7 linked regions of the Sus scrofa genome follow. The main gene of each other region encodes a partner of the protein of the gene in region 3 in a complex. Links are inferred from orthologs where the notes say so. Each region holds a gene or a part of one and is shown on either strand. Other genes may lie near its edges.

What was found.
Region 1: B9D1 (region 3) and TCTN1 share a complex: the UniProt entries of both Homo sapiens proteins name them as parts of the tectonic-like complex. The link is inferred for Sus scrofa from reciprocal best matches to the Homo sapiens genes B9D1 and TCTN1.
Region 2: B9D1 (region 3) and TMEM216 share a complex: the UniProt entries of both Homo sapiens proteins name them as parts of the tectonic-like complex. The link is inferred for Sus scrofa from reciprocal best matches to the Homo sapiens genes B9D1 and TMEM216.
Region 4: B9D1 (region 3) and TMEM17 share a complex: the UniProt entries of both Homo sapiens proteins name them as parts of the tectonic-like complex. The link is inferred for Sus scrofa from reciprocal best matches to the Homo sapiens genes B9D1 and TMEM17.
Region 5: B9D1 (region 3) and TMEM67 share a complex: the UniProt entries of both Homo sapiens proteins name them as parts of the tectonic-like complex. The link is inferred for Sus scrofa from reciprocal best matches to the Homo sapiens genes B9D1 and TMEM67.
Region 6: B9D1 (region 3) and TMEM231 share a complex: the UniProt entries of both Homo sapiens proteins name them as parts of the tectonic-like complex. The link is inferred for Sus scrofa from reciprocal best matches to the Homo sapiens genes B9D1 and TMEM231.
Region 7: B9D1 (region 3) and TMEM107 share a complex: the UniProt entries of both Homo sapiens proteins name them as parts of the tectonic-like complex. The link is inferred for Sus scrofa from reciprocal best matches to the Homo sapiens genes B9D1 and TMEM107.

The regions. Positions count from the first base shown.
Region 1 is NC_010456.5:32,003,703-32,007,416, reverse strand, and holds part of TCTN1 (tectonic-1), read right to left. Parts: intron 2,906-3,714; coding exon 2,743-2,905; intron 756-2,742; coding exon 630-755; intron 581-629; exon of another isoform or gene 183-580; coding exon 39-182; 3' UTR 1-38. UniProt on the Homo sapiens protein: Component of the tectonic-like complex, a complex localized at the transition zone of primary cilia and acting as a barrier that prevents diffusion of transmembrane proteins between the cilia and plasma membranes.
Region 2 is NC_010444.4:10,119,271-10,123,499, forward strand, and holds the start of TMEM216 (transmembrane protein 216), read right to left. Parts: upstream 2,991-4,229; 5' UTR 2,368-2,990; coding exon 2,331-2,367; exon of another isoform or gene 2,317-2,330; intron 1,675-2,316; coding exon 1,573-1,674; intron 997-1,572; exon of another isoform or gene 891-996; intron 772-890; coding exon 679-771; intron 1-678. UniProt on the Homo sapiens protein: Part of the tectonic-like complex which is required for tissue-specific ciliogenesis and may regulate ciliary membrane composition.
Region 3 is NC_010454.4:60,165,539-60,168,967, reverse strand, and holds part of B9D1 (B9 domain-containing protein 1), read right to left. Parts: intron 2,801-3,429; coding exon 2,689-2,800; intron 226-2,688; coding exon 129-225; intron 1-128. UniProt on the Homo sapiens protein: Component of the tectonic-like complex, a complex localized at the transition zone of primary cilia and acting as a barrier that prevents diffusion of transmembrane proteins between the cilia and plasma membranes.
Region 4 is NC_010445.4:79,414,416-79,418,767, reverse strand, and holds the start of TMEM17 (transmembrane protein 17), read right to left. Parts: upstream 3,002-4,352; 5' UTR 2,946-3,001; coding exon 2,846-2,945; intron 1-2,845. UniProt on the Homo sapiens protein: Transmembrane component of the tectonic-like complex, a complex localized at the transition zone of primary cilia and acting as a barrier that prevents diffusion of transmembrane proteins between the cilia and plasma membranes.
Region 5 is NC_010446.5:42,882,577-42,886,290, reverse strand, and holds part of TMEM67 (meckelin), read left to right. Parts: intron 1-1,265; coding exon 1,266-1,382; intron 1,383-1,487; coding exon 1,488-1,592; intron 1,593-2,471; coding exon 2,472-2,574; intron 2,575-3,714. UniProt on the Homo sapiens protein: Required for ciliary structure and function. Part of the tectonic-like complex which is required for tissue-specific ciliogenesis and may regulate ciliary membrane composition.
Region 6 is NC_010448.4:12,160,641-12,164,354, forward strand, and holds the end of TMEM231 (transmembrane protein 231), read left to right. Parts: intron 1-1,132; coding exon 1,133-1,238; intron 1,239-1,608; coding exon 1,609-1,789; 3' UTR 1,790-3,254; downstream 3,255-3,714. UniProt on the Homo sapiens protein: Transmembrane component of the tectonic-like complex, a complex localized at the transition zone of primary cilia and acting as a barrier that prevents diffusion of transmembrane proteins between the cilia and plasma membranes.
Region 7 is NC_010454.4:53,394,184-53,398,582, reverse strand, and holds TMEM107 (transmembrane protein 107), read left to right. Parts: upstream 1-1,518; 5' UTR 1,519-1,662; coding exon 1,663-1,749; intron 1,750-1,918; coding exon 1,919-1,986; intron 1,987-2,088; coding exon 2,089-2,189; intron 2,190-2,938; coding exon 2,939-3,035; intron 3,036-3,259; coding exon 3,260-3,329; 3' UTR 3,330-4,083; downstream 4,084-4,399. UniProt on the Homo sapiens protein: Plays a role in cilia formation and embryonic patterning. Requires for normal Sonic hedgehog (Shh) signaling in the neural tube and acts in combination with GLI2 and GLI3 to pattern ventral and intermediate neuronal cell types.

The sequences.
Region 1 (3,714 bases), on a different chromosome or scaffold from region 3:
TACAGGCGTGGTGTAGTTTCCTTGTTTAATGACTTACGTCAAACAAACGGGAAGAAGAAATTAAAGGGCAGCCTGGCGTTGATGGTTGGCCGAGCTCTGAAGCCTGCCTCTGCAGGTGCAGATACATCCACAAAAGTAACCGCAGTAGAAATAAGAATTGTCCTTTCATTTCCTAAGTGGGTCTGTAATAAAAAGTCAGAGTGATGCAAGCCCTGCCTTCCAGCGTGTTACCAGGATAACAAAGGTGGGACAGCTCTCATTCCCTTCCTCACCCAACTGCTGTCGGTTCATGAATCTGGTAGCCACGCAGAGGGCTCATCAGCCATTAACTCAGAGGAGACAGCTGTCATTCAGGTTGTCCTAACACATCAATATCATTCACAGCTCAATTTTCATGAGAATTGTAAATTTCAAATCTAAACAAGAATGCTAATGTGACTAAAACCACTGTGTTCAGTGGAATTTTTTTCCTCTAAAAGATAATGACTGCTAAGCTGTTTTAACAATTCAGATTGTTTAAATTTTAATTATTCTTTTTTTTTTTTTTTACAAAATAATAAATTTCATCTATCACAACTGAGTTTTGTCTGGACTCATGTCTTAACCCATACCTTTAAAGTTAGGCCTACCTCAGAAAAAGAAGATGAAATTAGATTTGCAGTTACATTGACTATTTTAGCCTGTGGGTTCAATAAGGATCCATATTTAGTCCACTTCACTTCTATAGCCAAAGCCACTGGGAGCTGGCAAGAATCCTGCAAAACAAAATGCCATTAATCAACGTATTATACAACCTCAAGTCAAACTTAATCTGCAGTTCAGAGTTTTAATTATAAAATGTTTCACATATTACAAAATGTTCTGAACAAGAGAATGAATAGACTCTAGAAGTTCAGATAAAAACAGCTTAGAGAAAGCACATATTTTAAAGTACTCAATGCTCCACCTAAAGCATAATTTTTCCATCCCTTCCTATTTCTAAAGAGGCCAGCATTTACCTGGGAGTTGTGGTAACTCTAATAGCTAAATGTGGAACCTCCAGGGCTTTAGGAGCTCTAACCTCACCTACCTGTTTACATCCACCACAGAGATACCTTAGAGGAGAAACTGGCAACAGGGGAGGGAGTGGGAAGTAGTATTATTATCAGAGAGAAATAAAACCTGACTGCATACCATGTTAAAATGCACTTAGAGAAAATTTAAGGGCTTTCTTCTCATTTATCTGATTTCACCAGTTGGCAATGAAGATGTTACATCAGGGTAAACAGACAGTGTCTTAAGTTGTCAAAGACATTAACTCTCCATCTGAACCGAGAGCACTGGCGCCACAGTGGCGCTACCCAAGTGCAGGCTGGACACTAGGAGCCAGGCCTGAGGCCTCTGCCCTAGGACCTTTGTTTGGTCTGCCCCATGGGGAAAATTGGCAAGTGGGCCTTCCAGACCTCTTTCTTGCCTTTAGTTTCTTCAGTTGGTAAACGTGATAATGTTGAAGCCGTACAGTGGGAGATGGAATTCCACTGTAGTGTTCTACTTCTGTGTAGGTAAGAAAGTTTCCCACAGTAAAAAGTTTTTAAAGATACATCTCTTTAGGGCATGAGAAGCTAGCAGGCCTGCTAAATTTGGTGCCTGCCAAAGAGGCACGGGTGAGATTCCTTGGCTTAGAACTGCCTTTGAAGAAATCTACAGGCTGAAAAATCCTTGAGAATATTATTAGGAGGAGATGCAGCTGATACGGACTGAGTCTAGCAGATACTCTCATGCCGCTCCACCCGGAAGGCTGGTACGGAACCTGCTCCCGGCCCTCTGAGCTCCCTGGACCAGCACAGACCTGGGCAGTGCTTATGTCCATCCTGCTGCCTCTCTCCGCCAACTCTGTCTTCCCTTCTGAGGGGGAGGTCATAATTGGATGTCTGAACCCATCTCTGAGAAGCCCCAAGCAGCCTGCCTGGTTCAATGGGGCAACAGAGCTGAGCCAAGACTCAGCAGCTGAACAGCAGGGACTGAGTAATCACAGGTCTCCGCTGGGCACCGGGTGGGGAGGGCGGGATCAGAGCTAGCGAGCTAGTCTTCACCCCCTTTATCCCCGAGCTATAAATACACCAAGCAGATAATGAGAGGCCTGAAGCAACTGTGACAAGCAAAAGCTGGGCAATTAAAGGATAAGATGGAGAGCACGCCTCCAGTGACGGCGGCCCACACTCTGACTGCTGAGACAAAAGAAAAAGGTGGGCAGAAGAACCACATGTGATCCGGAACCTATTTGTAGGATGTCAACTTCCATTAAACTCCTTCAGGAACTTTAGAATTGAAAGCACTCACATGTGGACTGCTTTTATAAACCAGGGAACAATGGATGGGACAGCTATGTGGATGGGGGAGTCTTGCTGAGACAATCCTGACACAGCTATCATATCACGATGTCTAAAGGAGGCCTCGTATAACGCCAACCAGGAACAGGATGGCGACTGGTCGCGGTTCCCATGTATAGACTAACCTCTAGGCACCATGAACATCACGTCATTTAACCCTCAACAAGCCCATGGGGTTGGTACCAGAGCTATCAGGTGAGGAAACAGGCTCAAACCCATCCAGCTGCTGGCCAAAGGCAACAGTGGGGCAAAATCAGGACTCAGGATCCAGGTCCATCTGACAACATTGTCCAGGCTCCTATCCAGAGCACCCCCACAACAATAGGTGCCCCCTACCCACCGGCATGTGGCCTTCCAACTTCTCCCCTTTTACCTTCACATGGGATGTCTGGGTGATGAAGTGGATGGGCACCCAGTCCAGCACATCCTGGGCCTGGGAATTTCCAAATGGGGCCACGTAATCTGGGAAGCCCTGACCCTTCAGCAGGCTCTTCACCTTCTGGGCTGCCAGCCGACATGTGATAGTTTTGGTCAGCCTTTTGGGAAGGAAAACAAGGTCAATTGAATGAGGTGATTGTTCGTTCATACCTGCAGTTTTTCTTTTTTAATTAATGTCAGTGATGAATACTGGTCTAACCAAAATAAGGATGTCGATATCCTGGGGAGATATAAGGATGGGAAGCAGTGTGTGGTGGGATAGGGATCAAAGGAGAAAGAGCCAAATCTTCACCCTCCACAGTGGGAACTCAATAAATAAGTAGAATAAAGTAGATAAACAACAAAGACCTACTGTAGGGCACAGAGAACTACAGTCACTAGTTTGATTTTTTTTTTTTTTTTTTTTTTTTTTCTTTTTAAGGCCACACACTTGGCATATGGAAGTTCCCAGGCTAGGGTTCAAATCAGAGGGACAGCTGACAGCCAAACAGCCACAGCAATACCAGATCCCAAGCCACATCTGCAACCCACATCACAGCTCATGGCAACACCAGATCCTTAAGCTACTGAGAGAGGCCAGGGATCAAATCCGCATCCTCATGGATACCAGTCGGGTTCTTAACCCTCTGAGCCACAACAGAAACTCCGATTCAGTATTTTGTAATACCCATAATGGAAAAAAAATCTGAAAGAGAATAGATATGTATGTGTGTGTGTGTATATACACACATACACACACAAGTTCACACACACACACACACATATGGATAACTGAATCATTTTTCTGTGCACCTGGAACATTGTAGATCAATTTACGTTAATAAAAAATTAAAATAAGTTATAAAACAAAAAATCAAGAAGTAGTCTCATATGTAGGCTAAAGATTTGGGGGTAAATTTTCAAAAAA
Region 2 (4,229 bases), on a different chromosome or scaffold from region 3:
GATCTGAGCCATGTCTGCGACCTACACCACAGCTCACGGCAACACTGGATCCTTAACCCACTGAGCGGGGCCGGGAATTGAGCCCGTATCCTCATGGATACTAGTTGGGTTCTTAACCTGCTGAGCCACAAAGGGAACTCCTCCCTTGCTAATTTTTAAAACGAGGTTATCTTTTTCTTAGTTCTTTATGTGAACCTCTTTTTGTTGAAGTTATTTTTTTCCCTCAGTGTATGTTTTAACACCGTTTTCAGGGATGAGGTAACTCATGAGGGATTGCTCTGTACCTCCGGGGATGTAAACTTGTCCTAGAGAAATCCTTTTTCAGAGAACCGGAGGGGACCTTATTGCTGATCTACTGCCCTGGACATGGAGTTACAACGAAATCTCTTCTCCCAAGAAACCAGTGAGAGGAACCAGGCACTCCTGTAGTTAGATAATCGGGAAGGAATGATCTAATATCTCATGCCGCCACCCACCTGTGGCGCAACAGAGCAATAGACAGGTAAGTCTTGACCCCAAGTATGAAGCCGCCTGAAACTTCAGAGAGGGTGTAACGGGATATGCCACCAGATCCACTCTCTCATTGTGAGCCAAGGTTAAGTGCTTTTCTTTGTTCATCAAGTTACAGATACCAGCTCATCTCGCAAGGAATGGAAATAGCCTCTGGACAACACTCACCAAAAAACAGTCGAATTGCTTCAATGCCAAGATAAAGGAAGAGCATCACCACATCCAGGACCAGATTGGCTGTTGGATATGGTAGCAGGAGACCTGCGATACAAAAGCCAGAGTTTGCAAACAACGTCGAACAGCACACACAAGGTCTCCCACTCACTTGGGAATAAAGAGAACATGAGTCTTATCATGTTCTCTTCCCATGAGCTACTTACTGAGATACGGGCAGGATCCGTTAACTCATGGTGCGGCTATGTCTGTTAGAGGCAGGCTCGTAATTATGGGCTTTTACTCCTAACTCCAAGAGTCTGTGGGGCTCTACTGCATATGGAATGGATGGGTGGTCAGTGGGGACCTGCTATTTATAGCACAGGGAACTCTACTCAGTATTCTGTGATAACCTACATGGGAAAAGAATCTGGAAAGGAATGGAGATGTGGATATGTGTAAATGAATCACTCTGTTGTACAGCAGAAATTATCGCAACATTGCAAATCAATTTATAGTTGCAATCACTATACTTCAATAAAACCTTAAAAAAAAAAAAGATTCTGTGGGGACGCCACTCTCCAGTTATCAGATCAGATGTACACGGATATACGGCGCTGAATAGCTTCTGAGGGTCACCAATGGGCTTAAAGTGGAGTTCAGCAAAGAGAGGTGACAGGGGAGAGTCAGAAGGGAGAAGCCCCCATTTCCCAAACTCAAGAAATTCTTGCTGAGTGGCTTCCTACTGAATCATTCTCAAGGAAGCCATCTGATGAAGAGACCTTGCAGTGAAGAAGAGCTGCAGGGGAGCAGAAAAGAATGAAAAAATAAGGCTTTGGGTGGGAGCTGGCTCTGGGCTGAAGTGGGGAAGGGATGTTGGGGAAAGGGTAGTTAAACCCCAGACCTTACCTTTATACAGAAATATGAAGAGTTCCAGCAGGAAATAGGTAGCATAATACCACCCGTTCAGAAAGAAGAGGATTTCCAGGGGGGTGGAAGATAACCGTTTACCTGAAAATAGGAGCACAGAGAAAAGAGACGGGCTGGAGGGCAGGCAGCTCAACCCCAGTTATTTGAATGGTTCTGTGTCTAACTTGGAGGAAACAGGAGGCCGCAGCTGGTGGAAAGGGCCACTGGCGGCACTTCTGATTGTTGATGAGAAGGTGTCTGTGTGGTGTGTGTGTGTGTGTGTGTGCACGCGCGTGTGCGTACGGAGTGTGGAGGGGTTTCAGCTGACAGAAAGGGTCCCTGGGGGCACTTCTGTTTGCTGATGAGGAGTGAGTGTGTGTGTGTGTTTCCTTCAATCTCCTCCTTTCCAGAATCGCCATCAAACTCTACCGCTTCGGCTTTGGGGGTGAAAGTCAGGGATCTAACCTCGTCGCTATTTAGGAAGGAAAACTGGGACCCAGAGACAGCACTGGCCAGTGTGAAGCCACGCTGCAAATTCCTATTGAGCCGGCCTAGAACAGGCTGAGCCAAGGATTTGGGGGTATTTGAGACCCACATCTCGAGACCTTCTGGCACTCAGGGTAGGTGAGGCTGCTAAACCCTGCTGTGGACAAGTGAGGAGAATGGAGGGTTCAGGTCGACGCTGGGAGAGGAGGGCGGGGTGGGGGGGGAAACTGAAGGGATCAGGACCAGCAACTCACACACCTCCAGAACCTCACCTCGCGGCGCCATCTTCAGTCCCCATGGAAACTGCATACGCGGCTACAGCACTCCTGGAGCAGCGAGGCGTTGCCGGAAGCGAGGGACGGAGCGGCCCTGGATTCGGGCCCTTCTATCCGCCTGCTGCACTCGATGGTTACCTGGGGCCGGGGGCACTCTTGTGACGGCCACGCCTGCGCCGGGAGGAGCGCGGGCCGCGAACCGACTTCGCTGGGGTTTTGGCAGAGGACTGATAAGAAAGCAGATGATGTCGTCTGCAGGACTCCGAGGGCGGGGCAGTTTTCGCCCCGCCCCCATCCCAAATTTACCAGGAATTGTTCGAAGCAGCCAGTAGTGGTAATGTGATCAGAGTTGGTGAATAGGCCCTGGTCCCATGGTTTCTTTACTAACATGGGTCTTAAAATGAGAAATAGTGTGCGCGACAGTGCGCTGCAAATGCGGCGTGGAGTTTGGGGATCCTTTGTGTAAACAGTCTTTTTCTGAGGGGAGGGGATGCGGGGGTAGGGTTTTTCTATGCATCTGATTTATGTACCAGGGAGTTAGAAGATACCAAAGTTGGAGTTTCCCTTGTGGCTCAGCGGAAAGGAACCTGACTGGTATCTATGAGGATGCAAGTTGGATCCTTGGCCTTGCTCAGTGGGTTAAGGATCCAGCGCTGTGGTTAACTGTGGTGTAGGTTGCAGACGTGGCCAGGATCCCAGGTTGCTGTGGCATAGACTGGCAGCTACAGCTTCAATTCGACCCCCAGCCTGGGAACATCCATGTGCCACGGCTGCGGCCCTAAAAACTAAAAAGACAAACAAAATAAAAAAAATAAAAAGAAGAAGAAGAAGGTACCAAAGTTAGTCGGAACTGGAGGCTCCTTTCAAGGAGCATAAATAAGAGCAAAAGATGAAATATAATCAGCACTTGACCCCAATGTGCAGTGGCAGTTGAGAAGACAAAGTACTCTCGGTAGGGGTTGGGAGACGTTTCCAAGACATGGCCTGTAAACTGGGCTTTGAAACTTGTTATGATTTGGAGCAGTAAAAATGTGTTACCCCACAGGGCAGGGGACTAGGAAGAAGGGTTGTTTTTTGCTTTTTTAAAATTTTGTTTATTGTAGTTGATACAATGTTCTGTCAATTTCTGCTGTACAGTAAAGTGACCCAGTTACACATATACATACATTCTTTTTCTTACATTTTCCTCCATCATGTTCCATCACAGGAAGAAGGGGTTTGAATGGACTCAGGGTGACATAGGGGTTAGCCCACTGTCAGGAAGGGTAGGACAGGAAAAAGATGTCACACTTGTAGACTTTTAAAAAATGCGCAATGTGAGAATTGTGAGTTAAATTTTTGGGCCGTCAAAGTGAGGACTATAGCCTGGGAGGCAGCATTTCAGATAGCTCTGGAAAAAAAAATGCTCCAAAAAAGTGGGGGCAATGCCAGTATATATGTGATTTTGGTGAAAGGGGTGGTACAATTTAGCAGAAAGTTACTCTCCTTTGGTGAAGTTTCCCGCTAGTCATGAGGAGCAGGCATCACCATGAAGGATTTTAGCGCTTTTCTAGATATGAGGAGATGCCAGGATTGGGTTCATAAAGTCTTCTCCCCAAAACACCTATCTGAAGACCTGTTTCTTCCAGTTTTTTTGGGGGGGACACAGCCACATCCATGAAATACATCTGCTTTCATGTAATAGGCTTTCATGCTTTCAGGCTGAGTCGTTGCATCACTTGTTAGGACTATATGGCTCACAGGCTTAAATATTTACAATCTGGCCCTTTAAGTAAAATTTTGCTGACTCCTGTCATAGACAGCAAGGAGTAGCTCCCATCGGTGCTAAAAATAGGCAATAAGATTGAAATAACAAACACAGGAGCATCATTGTGGCATCCTGGTTCCCTGGTACCC
Region 3 (3,429 bases):
CTGCCCCCTCCCCTCGCCCCCCTCGCAGGGATGGAGGCGTACATGAACCCCAGACGCCAAGGGCCCCTCTCGGGAGGCCCCAGGACATGCCCCGCCGTCCCAGGGCCCAGCGGCCGGGGGAGACCTACCGGCCGGGGGAGAAGGGCACATGCACTGCCCCGTAGCCTCGGACCACGTCGTTCCCGAACACGTCCGGCCCGTACACGCTGAGCACGATCTGGGGCCCTGGGAAGGACAAGGCAGGTCAGGGCTTCGGCCCTCCCAGGAGCGGGGGCGGCCAGGGCCCATGCACGGCCCGGGGGCCCGGGGTGCTGCCTGGATTGCAGGGCTCGACGCACCCAACCCGCAGCTGGGGACCCAAGCGTGACCCGGCAGATGGCCTGCTCCCGGGACCTGCTCTTGTGAGGGGCGGTCAGACTCAAGTGCGTGCCACACGGGCACGGGGGTCAGAGAGAAAGCAGAGGCCTTAACTGGAATTGTTCTTCCTGAAATAAAGCCGAGCCCTCGCCTGCTCCTCGGGCGCTCGGACGCACCCCCTGCCGCGGGGCGGTAGCTGCTCCACCGGCCGGTCTTCTCATCGGTGTGCAGCCGGTGTGAGCTGCATGGCTCGGCTCGTCACCCTCAGTGACGGCTTTTGCTGAACAGATGCCCTGAGTTCTAACACAGCTGAACGCACGGACCTTCCCCTGTGGGGTCCTTTGGTGCCCCCATGGAATCTTCCTGGAGCCTCATCACTGGGGACTCTGTGCATCCGATGGGACGCAGGGAGCAGCCTCCCTCTTCTTCCTGGTGTATCCAGCTGTGCCAGGGCCACGTCCCAAGACCCTCCTCCCTCCCCACGGGCTCGCTTCTGCCCTGGGCTCCTACGGGACTGTCTGTCTGTCCTGGTGCCACGACTGTCTTAGTGACTGTGCTTCGCAGTTAGAGCTGGACCTCTGGCACCCTGGGTTACATCGGCATTACTGAAAAGGACCTTCTTGTAAGATGTCAATTCCCCTTTTCATATAGAATACATGTTCTGTTTTCACACGGAAAGCAACTGACTTTTGTATACTGCTCTTATATCTGGCAGTCATGCCAATTGATTAATCCTAATGATTGCTGCCGGCTCTTCTGGAAATTCTGCGTACATAACGCCTTGTCATTCATGGGCGAAATGGTTCTGGTTCTCATGCCTTTGAATTGTGCGCTGGTGGTGGTGGTGACGGAGCTGAGAGAACTCTTCCAACGTTGCACTGTAAAAACGTGACGTCTGCTCTGAGCTTGCGTAGGCAGCCTTATCAGATGAAGGGGTTTCCTTCTACTCCCGGTTTGCTTCATGTTCATCACGAATGCATGTTGAATGTTGCTTTTTCTGCATTTATGGGGATGGTGGTGACTCTTTTTAAAGGAGTGAATCTCTTCTCTACTTTTTTCTTTGGCTTTTCAGGGCCGCACCCTCGGCACATGGAGGTTCCCAGGCTGGGGGTCGAATCGGAGCTATAGCCGCCGGCCTACGCCAGAGCCGCAGCCACGCAGGATCCAAACCCCCGTCTGTGACCTACATCACAGCTCACAGCAGTGCCAGATCCTTAACCCACTGAGCAAGGCCAGGGATCGAACCCTCGTCCTCATGGGTGGTTCATTATTGCTGAGCCACGACGGGAGCTCCTATAGTGAGTCTCAGTGTTTGATTTTAGATTTACACAAATGCATTACTTCTGGAACAAACTCTACTTGCTCATGACATGTCACCCTTCTGGTATCCTGATGAATTTGCTGTGTGCTCGGGGCTCGGAGCGCCCGACCCACTGAAGGATCTTCCAGCTCCGTGGGTCCCTGGCCCAGAGCGGCCAGGACACGTCTCCGTCAGCCTCTCAGTCACCTCGCCGGGGATCAGCCAGCACTCGCAGCTCCGCCTCTGTCCTGGGTGTTGGCTTGCCGGGTCGCCACCACTCTGCAGCTCTGCTGCCTCCAAGGAGCTGTTTTCTGGTTTTGCTTTTTAATATTTTATTCGCCTTCCCCAGCTGGTCTCAGCAGATTGGGCCACATCTCGTGCCCTGTTCCAGGAAGCCTATGGAGGTTTCCTACTCACGGATGGTGACAACAGGATGGCGGCCCTCGCCCAGGAGGACCGCCAGGCAGCCTGGCATCCGGTCAGCCCAGTCACACCCAGCATGAAGGCCTGGACTGTGGAATAGAGGGACCTGAAATCAAATCCATGCTCAGCTGCCAGAGGTAAAGCTGAAGCAAGGGATGGCGGCTCTGAGTTGCCGATGCCTGACGTGGGAGAAGCGGAGAAGCCCCGGGTGGGATGGGGAGGCTTGGCCCAGCCCATGGGGGCAGCCACAGCCCGGAGCAGCCGCCCCAGGCTTTGCACATGGCCGGCGCTTGTTGTGTGAGCGCGATCCCTGACCACCAGTGGTCAGCAAGCCCCGCCGACCAGGGGGCAGAGGGCGGATGTGGGCCCGGCAGCGGCAGCGGAGGAAGGGGCCTGGAGGGGCAGCAGGGCAGGGGCCGCCAGGGGAGCCCTGGGCCAGCCCGCCCTCCGCAGGCAGGTGCCATCCGGGGCTTCAGGCAGAGGTCGAGCTCGCGCAGAAGGGCGGGAAGGGGAGGGGAGGGGCCGTCGCCGGGTGGCTGCGAGCACGTCGCGAGGCTGGTCGGGGGCCCAGGTGACGTGCGGTGGCAGGGCGAGGGCCGCAGACTCACAGCCGTGGGGGTTGGTGCTCTTGAAGGTGACGTCGATGGGGAAGTTCCACACCAGCGCGCGCCTGGCATCCCGGCTCTTGGACGTGATCTGGGAGATGCCCTCCTCCAGGCCCTGCGAGGACAGGGACGGTGACGCGGGCGGGCCGGCTCCCGGGGTGGAGACCTGTCTTCCTCCAGCAAAGGAAGCTGAGGGACGGGGAGCGGCTGCCAGGCTCTCTTCCCTCAGGGCCACCTGGCCCTGTGCCCGAGTTCCACCGCGCCTCCGGGGGGTGGGGTGTCCCCCTCAGCCCGTGCCCGCATCCTGCCTCCTCTGCCCGCCCCCCCAGCTTGTTCCCAGCAAAGCTTCTTCAAAGAGATGCGGACACGCACCAGCTCCAGTTCCTTCTCGGCCTTTCGTCCCTGAACCCACCGCACCCTGACCTCTGGCCCCCGCACGACCAAAGTGTTTCTGTCACGTCACCAGGGGCCTGGCTTGCTGTGTCTGTGGCCCCTTCCCTGTCCCCATGTCACCAACCAGCCTTGACACGACTCCTGCATGCCATCCGGGCCCCGGGCTCTGCCCCCCGCTCTCCCTGCTTCCTCCTCGGTCCGGAGCGGCCTGAACCTCGGCCCCCGGGCACCCTTCCCCTGCACCTATCATCTCGGCATACGCTGTGTGCTGATGCCCAGCCCGTGTGTCTGGCCTGGCCTCCAGGTCAGCGTGGCCAAGGCTCTGCTGCCGACCCCACGGCCCCACCAGCC
Region 4 (4,352 bases), on a different chromosome or scaffold from region 3:
ATAGCTGCAGCTGCCAGTCTACACCACAGCGACGCCAGATCCGAGCAGCATCTGTGACCTACATCACAGCTCACAACAACTCCAGATCCTTAACCCACTGAGCAAGGCCAGGGATTGAACCCATAACATCATAGTTCCTAGTGGGATTCGTTTCCACTGTGCCACAATGGAAACTCCAAGAATTTGATTTTTAAAATTGAGCCCCCCTACAAGGCAGCTCTGTGGCACAACTGATAGTACATTGGATTTTTAATGGATAAGCAATGAGGTCCTACTGTATTGCACAGGGAAATATATCTGGTCTCTAGGGATAGACCATGATGGAAGATATGAAAAGGAATGTGTGTGTGTGTGTGTGTGTGTGTGTATATATGTATATATATTTATATATATGTGTATATATATATATATGACTGGGTCACTTTGCTATACAGCAGAAATTTGGCACAACACTCTAAATCAACTATCCTTTGTTTTTTTAAAAAGGAAAAAATATAAAAAGACTTTATAAATTAGAAACAAATGAGCCCTACAAATGCATCCTAAATTTGACTAAAAATTCTAACAATTTAAGAACAGATAACATACTTTGAAATCCACAGTTCTAAAAGAATGGATTTACAAAGACTAAATTTTTTTTTTTTTTTTTTTAGGGCTGCCATAGGAAGTTCTCATGCTAGGGATCAAATCGGAGCTATAGCCACTGGCCTACACCACAGACACAGCAACTCGGGATCTGATCGAGTCTGGGACCTACCCCACAGCTCATGGCAACACTAGATCCTTAATCCACTGAGCGAGGCCAGGGATAGAACCCGCATCCTCATGGACCCTAGTTGGGTTCGTTAACTGCTGAAGGCTCTAAAATTTCTTAAAAGTATATTTTTATTTTTCTCTATAGCTGAGTATTTTATATCTATCATTTAACAATTTTAAAATGTAAAATAATCACAGTCTCTCATAGCAAGGTTTTCTTTAGCTCCAAGAATATCCCTCGTTATTATGATCTACTTTTTAAACATTGTGTGATTATGATCTACTTTTGCTTGTACTTATTGATTAAATTGCCACTGATCAAGGCATGCATTCTTAAAATCTGTTAAATCTGAAGATAACTCACCTGCCTAGGATTTTTTTTCATAACAACCATACAACTCTTGGTCAGCTGTGGACAAGGTCATAATATACCCTTGTATTTACAGTACAAATAATCGAACCTATTTCAGATCCACAAAGAGGAAAATGTGGAAAAATATGATAAATTAGTTAAGCTGAAAATTTTAATAACTTTAGAGCAAACACTGTAGTCAAATTTTGCAAAGAAGTTATTATGTTAAGAATTTTGTACACAAGCCTCTTAAGAGTTATGCTATGTCTATATTTCAGAGATCAAACTTATAATCATGCAGTTGAAAATCAAGTTAATATGTAAATGAACTTTGAAAGCAAGCACAAGACATGAATTTACTAAATTTTGCAAAAGTACAAGTTGAGTTCTATAAATGGAATTTAAATTAAAACATTTTATAGTATAAATCAGGGGTAGGCAGACTACCAGCCAGCTGCCTGTTTTTGTATAGCAAGTGAGCTAAAAATGGTTTTTTCACATTTTTAAATGGCTGAGAAAAAATATCAAAGAATAATATTTTGCGACACTGAAAATCATAGGAAATTCAAATTTTAGCATCCATAAATAAAGTTTTATTGGAACACTGCCAAGTCCATTCAATTACCATCATCTATGGCTGCTACATGCATCTATGGCCTGCAAGGTCTCAAATATTTACTATCTGGCCCTTTACAGAAAACCCCTGATACTTTACATCATCAGATTTTAGTGCCTGTTAAGCTTTAGAATCAGAAATGTAAAAGTCAATTTTTTTTTCACATTATGTTTTTCTCTGTACATCCTAAATCATGGAGGCTTAAATTGGAGGGACAGGCTAGTAATCAGCGTGGAAAATGAAACTATGGGAACAGACTTCTCTCTGCCTCCTTAAAAAAAAAAAAAAAAAAAAAAAAAAAATCCCTAAACCAAGCAAAAGGAAAAGATTTCTATTTCCCAGCACAGTTCAGTGATAAAAAGCGCACGGGTTTGGTTCACAGTATGTTGTCTATCATCATGATTTAAGAGGGGGAAACTGCAGGAAACTGCGTTGTCACTTGTCATGTTGAATGTAGCATCATGGTATTCTGTTACTTGATTTAGGGCAAGAGTTATATATAGGGAAGGAGAAGAAAGCAGGGAGAGGGTGAGTTTTGTTGGAGACGATGCTAGTGTGGCAGCTGCCACTCTGAATTGGATAGCGTTTAAAATAGTTCATTAAAACAAAAACAAAAACTTTTCATGCTTTCTGCCAGAAAACGGACTTGTGGTGGAACATACTTGTTCTGGTAGAAAAGAAAAAAAGGAAAAGATATTTTACTGGGGTTGGGGGTGGGGTGGGACGGGGAGATTGCCTGGGCTGTTTTCACTCCATCCTGGACATAATATGCCAGGGCGGATGCCGCAGAGGAAAAGCAAAGTCGGCCTTCTCAGCCTTCTCGGAGGGCGCGGGACTGGACGCGGAATGCGAAGGCGGGTTTTGTTCTTGTATTTTTTGAGGAAGGCTGGCGCCACGTCGGCCGCCCCTCTTGCAATTCGCCCGCGAGGCTACAGCACCATCAGCCGAAGACCGCCTGGGTATTTGGCCCCGAATATCTGGTCCTAGCCCCAGCCCCAGGCCCAGCCCCTCCTCCAAGGAGCCTCCCGCACTGCGGTGAACTCTCTGAAGACGAAACCGCCATCTTTGGTCTGGGCAAAATCTGGCCGCTCCACGCGCTGCGCTGAGCCTCGGCCACTCACCCGGACCCTCGCTATACTCCGGCCCGGTCCGGTTGGAGTCGCTGAACACGGTCCGGCTGAAGTTTCCCAGCCGCTGGCGGACCGGATCCGGCAGCTCCATGCTCAGGCCTCAGTACTGCTCCCACCTGGGTCTTCGGGCACCGTGGCGCTTTGAGGTTCCCACAGCAACCGGGCCGCGCGAGGCTGGGGGCTGGGGCGCACGCGCGGCCCCGCTGCGGGCTGAGGCGCCAGGCAGCCCTGGAAGATAGAGGAGTGCAGGGAGCCAGTTCCTGCCCAGCGCCTCAGCATGATGCCAAACCGCAGATTCCTAAGTCCTGCTTTAACGGCCACCATTTTAAAAAAGGAATAAAAATAATAATTAGTGACTAGAGTTGGATTGTGATACAAGGAGCTCTAAGACCTTGCCAGTGGGATACAATCTTTCTGGGAGAAAATATAGAATGAATGCTGAGTTAACAGACTGTTCATGACCCAGTAGCTTGTGTGTGTGTGTGTGTGTGTGTGTGTGTGTGTGTGTGTGTGTGATATTATTACATCCTAGGAATATTTTTTAATATATGCATGCCGTATGTATACAGACACATATGTATGTATACACATACATACTCTCTTATAGGAATACGTTATATATTAGGAATATTATATATATATACATAGCATATATATACGATACACATATATATTGGGTGAAATACATTGAAGCAGTTTAAAAGCATGTTTGCAATGAATATTTAATGATGGGTTAACTTTAAATTAAAAAAAACCAGAAGTAAAACTAAGTAGGAATGAACCTAATTTAGTAAAATGTGTGTGTGTAAATATATGGGGAGCAGAGAGGGGGAGAAGATGGCACAAGCACTGTGGCTTCAAAAGAAGACTAGAAGAAAATAATCCAAAATGTTAGTAGTAATGTCTAGATAGTGATTGTGGGTGATTTAAAAAATTTAAAATAGGAATTCCTGTTGTGGCTCGGGGGTTTAAGAACCCAACATAGTCTCTGTGAGGATGTGGGTTGGGACCCTGGCCTTGGTTGGTTAGAGATCCGGAGTTGCTGTGGCATAGGCCTGCAGCTGCAGCTCCAATTAGACCCCTAGCCAGGAAACTTCCATATGTCACAGGTGTTGCTATAAAAAGAAAAAAAAATTTAACCACTTAGTATTTTTCTAGCTTTCCCTCAAATAAGATGTATCGTTTCAGACAGACAGACAAACAAACAAACAGACAAACTGGTTAGGTACAATTATGTACAGAAAAGTGTACAAACTGAATATACAGGTGTAACAAGAACCCAGATCAAGAAATGTAACTTTGGAGTTTCAGTTGTGGCACAGTGGAAACAAATCCCACTAGGAACCACGAGGTTGCGGGTTCAATTCCTGGCCTTGCTTAGGATCTGGTGTTGCCTTGAGCTGTGGTGTTGGTTGCAGATGCGGCTTGGATCCTGTGTTGCTGTGGCATAGGCCTTCAGCTGTAGCTCGGATTGGACTCCTAGCCTGGGAGCCTCCAT
Region 5 (3,714 bases), on a different chromosome or scaffold from region 3:
GCAAAAAATATGGAAAACGAGAGAATATTAAGTAAATTCATTTTCCTAAACAGTGAAATCTTAGGTAGACATCAAAAATCATGTTTTATGGAACACCTAATGACATGGAAAGTTGTCAGGATTTAATGTTAAGTAAAAGGAAATTGATACGATCCCATTTTTATGCCATCTCTGTATATACCTAGCCAACAACTGGAAATGAACTACCTTGAAATACTCTTGGTGTTGAGATTATAGTTGATTTTTTTTCTTTTTTTATAGCTCTCCAAATTTTATAAATTCTCTGTAGTAGCATGTGCTTTTTTAAATGGGGGGGAGGATTTTAATAGAGAAATTAACCAAGTGTTAAATTATGTTTGCAGATTAGCTTTAGACAAAGAAGGAGAATGTTAAGCTCTAGAGTAGGCGGATAAAAGTCAGGAGAATTGAGGCAAGAATACTTGAGCTGAGCCTTGAACTATCAATGAGAATTGGTTAGGTAGGGCATAGGGCAAAATGCTACAGACATATATATGTTCTCAGGATTTGGGTCATGTCAAGAGATATCTGGTCCATAACATTAACCACTGGGTCATGCATCACTACCTTTTCACTAGAATTAATTAAGGAAAAAAAATTTTTTTTGTCTTTTTAGGCCCGCACCCATGGTATATGGAGGTTCCCAGGCTAGGAGTCCAGTCGGAGCTGTAGCTGCTGGCCTACACCACAGCCACAGCAACTGGGGATCCAAATTGCATCTGCAGCCTACACCACAGCTCATGGCAATTCGAGATCCTTAACCCAGTGAGTGAGGCCAGGGATCAAACTTGCATCCTCATGGATGCTAGTTGGGTTCATTAACTACTGAGCCATTACAGGAACTCCAATTAAAGAAAAAATTTTAAGTGTTTAGAAAACAAAAAAGCCCATTTATGAAAGTAGTTAATTCTAAGGCTAGACTTTGTGGCATACCTTAAGGAGCAATAAATTAATCAAAAAGAAAAGCTAAGAATATGAGTACATAATGAACTTTTAGTACAAACTTTTTAAAAGTAGGTCTGAGTAAAATAGATGATATAAAGACCTGCAAGGGATTATGACAAGATAGAAATTAATAAAACTTAGAGGAGAGGGCAGCCTTGGATGATGTTAGAATCTCTTTGTCTCAAATATAGTTCCAATTCACTTTCAGTTGGCTTCTACATCTTATTGAATATTGTATTTTATTTTTGAGTAAGCAAAATTTTCATAATCTTGATCTTAATTTAAGTTTTTTAACTTTTCAGGAAAATTTGTGTAGCCAAAGAGGGTTGGTACCCAATACAGATGGTCAGACTTTTCAGATTGCAATTTCTAGCCAGATGAGACAACACTATGACAGAATTCATGAAACACTAACAAGGGTTTGTATAAAGTACAATTCAGGTATATTTTGTCAATATTTCATGTTATTTAAAAACCAGCAATGTAGGGCATGTTGCATTTATCCTTGTGTCTTTTCACATTAGAGAAATGGCCCTGCTAGACTGTTGAGTTCATCAGCAAGTACTTTTGAGCAGAGTATAAAAGCATATCATACTATGAATAAATTTCTTGGCTCTTTCATCGATCATGTATGTATATCAGCATTTATTTATTTATTTATTTATTTATTTTGCTTTTTAGGGCTGAACCCACAGCATATGGAGGTTCCTAAGCTAGGGGTCCAGCTGGAGCCGTAGCCTCTGGCCTACGCCACAGCCACAGCAACATGGGATCTGAGCCCCATCTGCGACCTACACCACAGCACATGGCAACGCTGGATCCTTAACCCACTGAGTGAGGCCGAGGATCGAGCCTTCACCCTCATGGATACTAGTTAGATTCATTTCTGCTGAGCCACGACAGGAACTCCTATTTTTTTTTTTTAATTATTTCTTAATTCAATCAAGTCAGTGGACTTAGAACCCTTGTGGGTTTTTTGTTTGTTTTCTAATTCGTGCGTAGTTGAGTTAGAATGTTGTGTTAGTTTTAGGTATAAAGTAAAGTGATTATTATACATACATATCTATTCTTTCTCAGATGCTTTTCCCTTATAGGTTATAACAAAATACTGGGATGGATTTAAGTTATGTAAAAGTAAAATGAAAAATTTTCATGTTGATTAGCATGATGATTACCTTAAAATATATCCATTCCGGAATTTTGTCAGTTACCAAAATATTATCATATTATTCATTTTAGATGTATGTTATATTATGGTTGTCTTCCTGAAAAGCTGGTTATAAATTGATTTTCAGAATATCTAACTGTGAATACTAATAATGACATTTAAAATTTAAAACATTCCTAAAGAGAATTTTGTTATAAAGCCAAGCATAGTAAATTGTCTTTTTGAAGGGCAGATTTGCTTTGTGTACTATTCATTTTTTTTCTCTGCTTCAGATTTTACAAAAATTGGAAAGCATTTATTTCACTGTTATTTTTGAAATGACTCTTGCTTTTTATATTAGGTTCATAAGGAAATGGACTACTTTATAAAAGATAAATTGCTTCTTGAAAGAATTCTTGGAATGGAATTCATGGAACCAATGGAAAAAAGTATCTTTTACAACGGTATCCTTCAAATGCCTTTGCTGAACTTGATTATTATTTTCCAAGTTTGAAAGAAACATGCTTGTAGTTACTGTTTTTTGATTTTATACTTTTATATAGGAAACATAATGAACTTAGTTAACTTAAAAGAATTACAGGGCGTTCCCGTCATGGCTCAGTGGTTAATGAATCCGACTAGGAACCATGAGGCTGCAGGTTCAATCCCTGACCTTGCTCAGTGGGTTAAAGATCTGCCGTTGCCATGAGCTTTGGTATAGGTTGCAGATGCGGTTCGGATCTGGCATTGCTGTGGCTCTTGCCTAGGCTGAGGGCTACAGCTCTGATTCGACCCCTAGCCTGGGAACCTCCACATGCCAGGGGAGCGGCACAAGAAATGGCAAAAAGACAAAAAAAATAAAAATAAAAGAATTACGTAGTTTTCAGTAGCAAGAAACAAATATATAAATGATAATTATTTTATAAGAAAGTAAAACATTGAATTTCAAAATCAGTGGTACACATGGAAGAGATAGTAAAACAAATACATAAAGTTCAGATTTTATTGGAAGGTTCATTTAGTGGCACACTTATAAACACTTAAAGAAGAATAATGTTCATGATTTATCTTGAAAAATTTGATTTTTCATTTTATCCAAATTCTTAAAAATTAGATATCTGTGATAGGAATAGTAACTAAACCTGCTCTTTTACCATTAAAAAAGTAGTATAGTCACTTTCAATGTGACCGAACCTCTTGCCTGGCTTGGGAAGAATGGAAATGATCTAACTAATGTCCTGGCCTAGATATCACTTGTGCACGTGTTAGTGCGTGCCGCATGTGGTGCCAGTCCTGGGATACCCACATTAGTGGTCCCTCCTTTGGGCATCGTGTTTAGTAGACTGTGGAAGGTAGGCATGTGGTAGGTGAGTGGAGTGATGGTGGGATAGAAGGCTGTGCAGACACAGCTTACACTGGGTGCAGAAAGGAAAGTAGAAAATTCTAACTAGACACGGGTGAAGTCAGAGAGTTATCATGGAGAAATTTAAACTAGGTCTTAAAAATAAGTTTTTCTTGTCAAATAGGAGGGTCCAGGGAAGAAAGGCAATGACATTTGTGCAGAAGGAGGAAAGGGTATTATGCACTTATGAACTTTATGATCA
Region 6 (3,714 bases), on a different chromosome or scaffold from region 3:
AGCACCCAGGCTTCGGGCTGGAAGGCAGAGGGGGTCCATCCCTCACAGCGGAGGAGCTCGCAGGCCAGCCTGTGTGCTTGGCTCAGCACATCTGGCTGGTTGGTGGTCTGAGGTTTTCTCTAAAGGCATCTAAAGCGTTGCTTGGCAGCCAGACGTCATAGATACTCTTCACTGACATATACCAAGTCAGGGGACTGCAATTCCAGTATTTCCTTCTGATTTTATGTACTACACCAGCAGCATTATTCCCCAAATAAAGGGATTTTAGATCACCTTAAAAACATTTATCCACAGAAGTTCCCTGGTGGCCCAGCAGGTTAAAGATCTGGTGTTGTCCCTGCTGTGGTGCAGGTTTGATCCCTGACCTGGGAGTTTGCACATGCTGTGGGCGTGGCCAAAAAAACCCCCATTTATCTACAAGTCAACTTTTCTCTTTATGGCTTCCAGTCTTTGTCCAAACACAGGTTTTTTTTTTTATACAGCTCTTATCATAGTTTAGAGACACTTTACGATCCACCTTATTTTTGTACTTTGTAATATAAATATTTCCCCACACGGCTACAAAGTTTTAATTGGTTTTCTTTTTCGTGGTAGTATAGTATTCTTTTGCTTAGCCATTCAACAGTTGTAGAAGACACAGACTTTTCAAGTTTTTAATGTATTCTGACAAGTATTTTAACAAATAATGTGTGAGCAACTCTGCATGTTCCATTTCTCTTTCCTTTCAAATTATTTCTTGGGTGGAGGTCCCGTCATGGCTCAGTGGTTAACGAATCCGACTAGGAACCATGAGGTTGCGGGTTCGATCCCTGGCCTCGCTCACTGGGTTAAGGATCCAGTGTTGTCGTGAGCTGTGGTGTAGGTTGCAGACACGACTCGGATCCCGCATTACTGTGGCTGTGGTGTAGGCCGGCGGCTACAGCACCGATTCGACCCCTAGCCTGGGAACCTCCATATGCCGCAGGTGTGGCCCTAGAAAAAGAAAAAAAAAAAAAAAAAAGACCAAAAAAAGTTATTTCTTGGGGATGAGTTCTGCAGTGTAGAATTTGCCTGAGGTCAGATTGTTCTTATAGCCTTGACTATTTTATTGCCTAAAAGAGCATTCATGGACTAAGTCCCGATTGTATTGCAGTAACCACCATCCTGACCAACCCCAACCCCATCTGGCTGGTGGGAAGGGCTGCAGAAGCTCCATTTGTAATTAATGCTGTCATCCGATACCCTGTGGAAGTCATTTCATATCCTTTCTGGTAAAGGGCCAACAGGAGCTCGGTTTCACAAAAGAAAAGAAGGATTCCACAGTTGTCCCCAAAAGGAACAGATGTGGGAAGTCTCAGATTGGAAATTGCTGCCACTGGAGTCTCACAGATATGACTCTGTTTGTCTGCAGTTGATACAGAGAAAAAAAAAAAATTCATTTCCTGTTCCTATTTCTTTTTGAGCAGTTCTTCTAGGTCAGAAGCATCCATATTTATGTCTTAATAATCTTTTATTGTCTCTTTTATCTTAAGGGTATTTGAAACATTTTTGTCATTTTCTGTCTCAACTAAACCTCTGGTTTAACATTTACTTAGAAAATGTCATCTGTGATTCCTTAACTGTTGGTACTTATCTCCCGGGATTCTGGGAAATGATAAAGTTTGCCTGGGTCCAGTATGTCAGTATCCTGCTCATCTTCCTCTGGGTGTTTGAAAGAATCAAGAGGTTTGTGTTTCAAAATCAGGTGGTGACCACAGTCCCTGTCACAGCAGGGTCGCAGGGAGAACCATACAAGGAGCACTTATCCTAAGAAGACCCTTTCGGAAAACTCTAAGCCGGACCCTGGCTGTCTCACCATTGCCTCCCGAGACCTGCCATGTTACGAAATTTCTAAAAAGAAGCCCTGGACACTTGCCCGCCTCTGTGATTTCCCGTGTCGGAGACAAAGAACAATCCTGTCTCATTATCCTCTACACAAATGCCATATCTTCTAAGCGCCTACAAAAATAATCAGGGACTAGTTTGTGGAAACGGGCTGAGGGTTCCTGAAGGCTGTAATTTGCTTTGGTTTTTGTTTTTGGATTTTTTTTTTTTTTTTTTTTTTTTTTTTTTGCCTCAGACTTGAATGTCAGGAGAAAACCCCAGTCAGTTCAGACCTCTTGGAAAGAGTCCCATCTCTGGTCAAGCAAAGACTTTTCCTCCCTTGAACTGAGAAAAGCGCTCTGCATTTCTTTCCCCCCAGTGTCCACCACGGTTCTTACTCCTTCCAGGGCCCCCTGGTGATAGATATGCAAATCACCAGCACTTTGCCCTCCTGGGCATCGACGTTTCCCATTCAGAACTCGTTTCCAGAACTGAGAGGCCTTTAACCGGACCCCTGGAGCGAAACCGGGGAGCGCTCCGGAGCACATGTGTGCACGTGCGCCAGGGTGGGCGACTTGAGGTCACCAGGACCATCCGTCCACCTGCCCTGAGCCTAACAGACAGTCGTCTGTCAGCAGCCCAGCTCAACAGCCCTTTATCCCTGCCCTGCTGTGCCTGGCTCTCGGCCCTCCGTCTGTGCCCCTGGAATAGCGGGCTGCGGTCCGCCGGGCTGGTTCATTCACAAGCCCCTTGGCCCCGGTGGGGGAAGTAAGGAGCCTAACAACAGCTTCTTTCTCTCTGGCCCTCGCCCAACAGCCTGGACACTTGCCACTCCTTCTCCTTGACAGCCCTCCCCTTCTTGAAAAGGACACGGGGGACAGAGGCGCTGTTGTTGCTGTGGGCTCCCCCTGCCTGACAACCACAGAGTTTACTTGCAGGGCCAGCAGGACGCCCATCAGAGGGGGCCGCTTTGGGGAGGACCCCCGAGGAGCAGGGAGGGGACGAAAAGGATGCTAGCCCGGGGAGTCCAAGCCACTTAGCGGAGTGACACACAGTCCAGCCAAATTACCCTCATGACTAAGTGAGTGTCTGCAGACGAGGCCACTGGAACCAGCCTCTGTCGCCTGTGGAACAACTGACCTCGCCCTAAGGACTGCTGGACCTGCTTTGTGACACCGAGATGTCACTGGCACTGGAAGGACATGGCTTCTGTGACCTACACTTCATGCCCATCCACACACACACACACACACACACACACACACACACACACACACACTCATGGGCACATGGCATGCCTCAGTTTCCCCTGGAGACTCAGGTCTTACTTCCCAAGCACCTCTTCTTTCAGGCTGACCAAAATAAAGAGTTTTGGAAACAAAGCGCCTTTGACGTATTCACGCACAAAAACAGCTGAACCCTGGCCCCTCTGCCTTTTCTTTTAATAGTCAGGGCTGTTGTTATGCCTAAAGTTTTTTTTCCCTGAGACTTAAGTGAAAAATCATTTCTGGTTTGAATCACCAAAACGTAACGAGGTAAGGAAAGATAGCTAGAGATATGTATAAACACGGCTTTGCCTTTTATTAAGTTATTTTCAAGCAAAATGTGTACAGAGAGCCACGATGTTTTGTAACTTTCTAATTAAAATGTTCAAACTGCAAGGCTGCATGTGGCTTTTTAGAGGGCAGGCATTTGGAAAGGGGAAGGACAGGGAGGGCAGAGGCCGGACACACCTCTCCGGGTTACTCACTAGCGGCTTGCTTTGCCAGGGCTCTGCCCAAAGACCGTGGAGCTTTTGTTAGCTCTTTGGCCACAGCCTTCTGGCCCAGCCCCAAGTAAACGTGAGTTTTTGGTGGAATCCACACGGCATGT
Region 7 (4,399 bases), about 6.8 Mb from region 3:
CGGATCCTGTGTGGCTGTGGCGCAGCTCAGATTCAATCCTTAGCCTGGGAACTTTCATATGCCGCAGGTGCGGCCCTAAAAAGACACACACACACACACACACACACACACACACACACACACACACACACACACGAAAGCCTATTTGTGGCCTGTCAAACATTCCACATCTGCTTTAATTGTTATAGAAACAGGCACAGGAACCAGAAGAAAAGAATACCCATTGTTAAAAATAATGTGCCCTCTTCCTGGGGTGCCAGTGCTGGCACTCCCTGGATGATAAGACTCCCTTCCCAGGTGCCAAGGACATACTAACTCACTGCGTAGGTGCTGGCCTGTTCTTTTTTTTTTTTTTTCAATCTTGAAGAATTGCAGCCCCGACTTGTTTAATATTCTTTGTTCTGACAGGATATAATACAGTGCTGGAAATCATGCATCTTCTGAGCAGTTTCTAAGAGTGATATGGGAAGCAGATTCAGGGCTACTCAGTAGTTTGGCTCAAATGAAATTTTCTTCAATTCTTATTTTAGATCCTTTATTGATTATTATCATTGGCAACGGGAAGAAGAGCGATGATCCGGTAAGAGGGTAGGGAGGTCCCTGTGAGGTTGTGCATATGAGAAATGAACTCCGGCCAGAACTTTCCGTTCTGCCTGGAACCCTTTTGAGGCCCAAAGGTCAGGGAGGTCGCTGATAGTGAGAGATGCTTGGATAGTAGCTGGGCAAAGTCAAGTGCCCACGCCTCAAAGAGATAAGGAAATCCTTGCAGAGTCTGCATCGACACCCTCGCTCCTGGCCTCCCGGGGACGCAAGGTCTCATTCCCTGCCTCCACCCCCATCCCCAGCCCTTTCTGGTCCTCTTTGTTCCCTCTCTTCCCCAAACACACTTCTTGGGGCACACCCTAGTCCAAGAGAGCGGGCCACTTTCCGCGATGTGCAAATCCCTCACCAGTCTGAGCAAAGGTGTCTGGGGCGTGAGGGAGGGGGAACTAGAATCAACGAAGGTGCAGGTATGGGGTCCTCCAACGACCAGGGGCTCTGGGACAACAAGTGGCAGCCGGACAACATAGGCACATCCACCTCTCCACGTTCGGCCCAGGGCACGTGGGAGCTAAAGGAATGCGGAGGAGGGAAGGAGAGAGAGCATCCAGGCCTCAGGCACAGACAGCCGTGTCCGGAGGTTCATCCGGGACAACGCAGCAGGGGTTGGGGGTCGGGCTGCACCCGGCGTGGGCATCCGGAGAAGGGGGGGGTCCCAGGCTAGGCCCGGAGGGTTTCCGTTCGCCGGCGCTGCGCGGGCAGACTGGACGATGCAGGGCAGCGCCACCGCACACTCGGTGCTGACCGCTCGGCTGCTAGTGACCAGGCAACGGATAATCGGCCTCCCGCCGGAATCAAGTACGACGCAACCTGACTTGCAGTCCCGCGACGGCACGCAGCTGCTTGACAGTTTAATGCTCTCGCGAGATTTTCAGAGATCCGGTCGCAGCACCAGCTACCGCAGTTACCAAGGCAACTGGGCGGTGCCAGCGCGAGCGGGAAGGAGGCGAACGTCGAATTTTTGTCTGCTAGCCTAGGAGACTTGAGGACTGGCCCTCCCCGAGTTTCCAGCCCTAGAAACCCCGGCCTCTGCTCCAGGCAGTACCCCGTCCCCTGGGGGCCATGAGCCGGGTCTCGGGGCTCGTGCCCTCTCGCTTCCTGACGCTCCTGGCGCATCTGGTGGTCGTCATCACCTTATTCTGGTCCAGGGTAAGACCCACGGCCCCGCTCCGTTAGTCCACGCTCCCACCTTGGAGTGGTCCTGGCCCCACTCTACGCCTCTCCCCGGGGGCTTACCCGGTCGGGTGCTCCCCCCCCCGCCCCCACCCCGCCACCGCCGCCCCTCTCTCAACTTCTTTCTTTCTGCCCTGCTCCTCAGGACAGCAACATCCAGGCCTGCCTGCCTCTCACGTTCACCCCTGAGGAGTATGAGAAGCAGGATATTCAGTGAGCACCTGGGGCAGGGTGGTCAGAATTAAGCAGTCGTGGAAGTGAAGGGGTCTTAGAAAAAGTTCAAGAGGCCTAAGCCCACACCCTTCCTTTCTGCAGGCTGGTGGCAGCGCTTTCTGTCACCCTGGGCCTCTTTGCAGTGGAGCTGGTCGGTTTCTTCTCAGGAGTTTCCATGTTCAACAGCACCCAGAGCCTCATCTGTATCCTTTCTTCCGTGCACCTTTCCTGCACCGGCCATTTTCATCACAGCTCCTCTCCGCCACCTAACTAGGCCTTTCTGGTACATTGGTGTTTGTTCTAGTAGGCAAACAGAGTCCCTCCAGTTGAGAAATCTTCTTAGGCACTGTGGGAGATTTAATACAATCTTTGGGCATCTGTTAAGCTCCTGCTATACATCAGTCACTGGAGATCTCAAAATGGGAGTAAAACACAATTTTCTACCTTGAGGAAGAGTTAGACACAGACAGACATCTGTAATTCCGTGTGATAAGCACTGTGCCACGGGATGTGTAAAGATATGAAGCTTGTGGGGACACAGACGAGACAGAGGACGTGAGGGAGATGGATTAGGGAAGGCTTTGGTACTTGAATTGTGGTCAGGGAGGACCAGGGTGCTGGAAAGTGATTCCAGCAGAGAGTAAAAGGTCACAGAGTGCTTGGAACAGATGGGGAGGCTACTACCTCACCTGAACGGTCCAGGCTAGATATGGGGTGGGGGTTGCTTAAGGTCCCAGCTGTGCAGACTCAGCTCCTCTACTCACATGGCTGCCCTAAAACTCAGGATTCAGGGCTGCTGGCTCTGGCCTTTGCAGTGTGGTAAGAGGAGCAAGAGGTGCCCCGCTTCCTAGGATGTAAACCTGAATGTAGATGCCAGCCCCCAAACCGGCCTTTTCTGACCCATTACTACCTATTGATCCAAAGGATTTCCTTGACTCTAGTGTGTTCCAAGCCATTGGGGCTCACTGTAGTGCATCTGTGGCCCTGTCCTTTTTCATATTTGAGCGTTGGGAATGCACCACGTACTGGTACATTTTTGTCTTCTGCAGGTACGGTAGCACCCAATGTTTGGGCATGGGAAAGCAACATTAACTCTAAATCTGAAGATTTCCCTCACCCAGCTCTTTACTCCATGTATAAAATATCAGATCCACTCAACATCCTTTTTTGAAGTCCCCTCCCTCCTACATTTGGGGGTGGTATCTCTGGCTTGGGGATTTGGATTTTTTTATTGGATGAAGGGGACCCCGAAACCACCACCTATCTTCCGCAGTGCCCTCCCAGCCGTCACTGAAATAGCGTTATTCATCAGCGTCTTTGGGCTGAAAAAGAAACCTTTCTGATACCTTCATGACCGGAAGTACGGATGAAGGCTGGAAGAGCGAGGGATCGCTCACCGTTCCTGGAAGAAGGAAGTCAGAGGCTCCAGCTCTTCCTCCAAAACTGCGTCATGGAGGGTATCAGTGTAATAGTAATTATCTCTCGAGTCTGAAATTATGTGTGCTTTGCTTATAGTTCTTTGTAATAAATATATTTTTAGAATATGATCGACTTATAAAAATTTCAGATGAAAATTGGGGTGGCCAAAGTGATGGCTGTTTTCTAGGCCTGCGGACTGTAAAATAGTATATTCGCTTTTATTTTGGTTATTACGGTAGAAGTCTGGCGGGAGGGTGGGCGGGGATATGTAAATAAGGCGGTACTTACGGGTGGGACACCCGGCTGGTAAGTGAGTGGAGCATTCTGGGAGGAATTAGCTTATCCATTTTTGATAGCCAAATGGAAAAACTTATTTTAAAACATTTGGAAATAAATGTACCAAAATATACAGAAGAACCCAAGTAGGCTTAGTTGCTCGGACCAACGCAGTGTTTACTCATCCTATCTTTGAGAGGAATCTTTTTCCCAGAGTGCGGAATGTCACGCTAAACGTTCTTATCGTCAGGTAGGATAATCCTTACCTGTTCCTCCTTCGGGAGGGCAGAATGGAAAATGATGATTGGAGCTCGCATGATTCGTGATTAACGGCTCTGCGTAATCAGGACTTGCAACACCCTGATTGCTCCTATCTGATTCTTCCTGACGATCAGCGCTTTTTATCAGAGTCTTCACGGTTAGAAAGCTGTTGTTGTAGGGAAGACGTTGTACTTCCTATTTCTTGCTAGTACTTTCTTTTCAATTGTGGCTCTTGTCGCGGATGTTAGTGTAGTGCTAACTCCTCAAATCCCTTCTGCCGCGGAGCAGGCTTCCTTTTTAGTCTCAATGGCTGCAGTTTCCACCGGAAGGTTGGTCCAGGTTCTGAATCCACTCAGTAGTCTGCAGGGAACTCCCTGCTGCTGCTGCCTGGGAGGTGGTGATGACAACACGTTCAAGAGAATGCTGCTTCGCATTATATACACAGACTGCAGGAGTC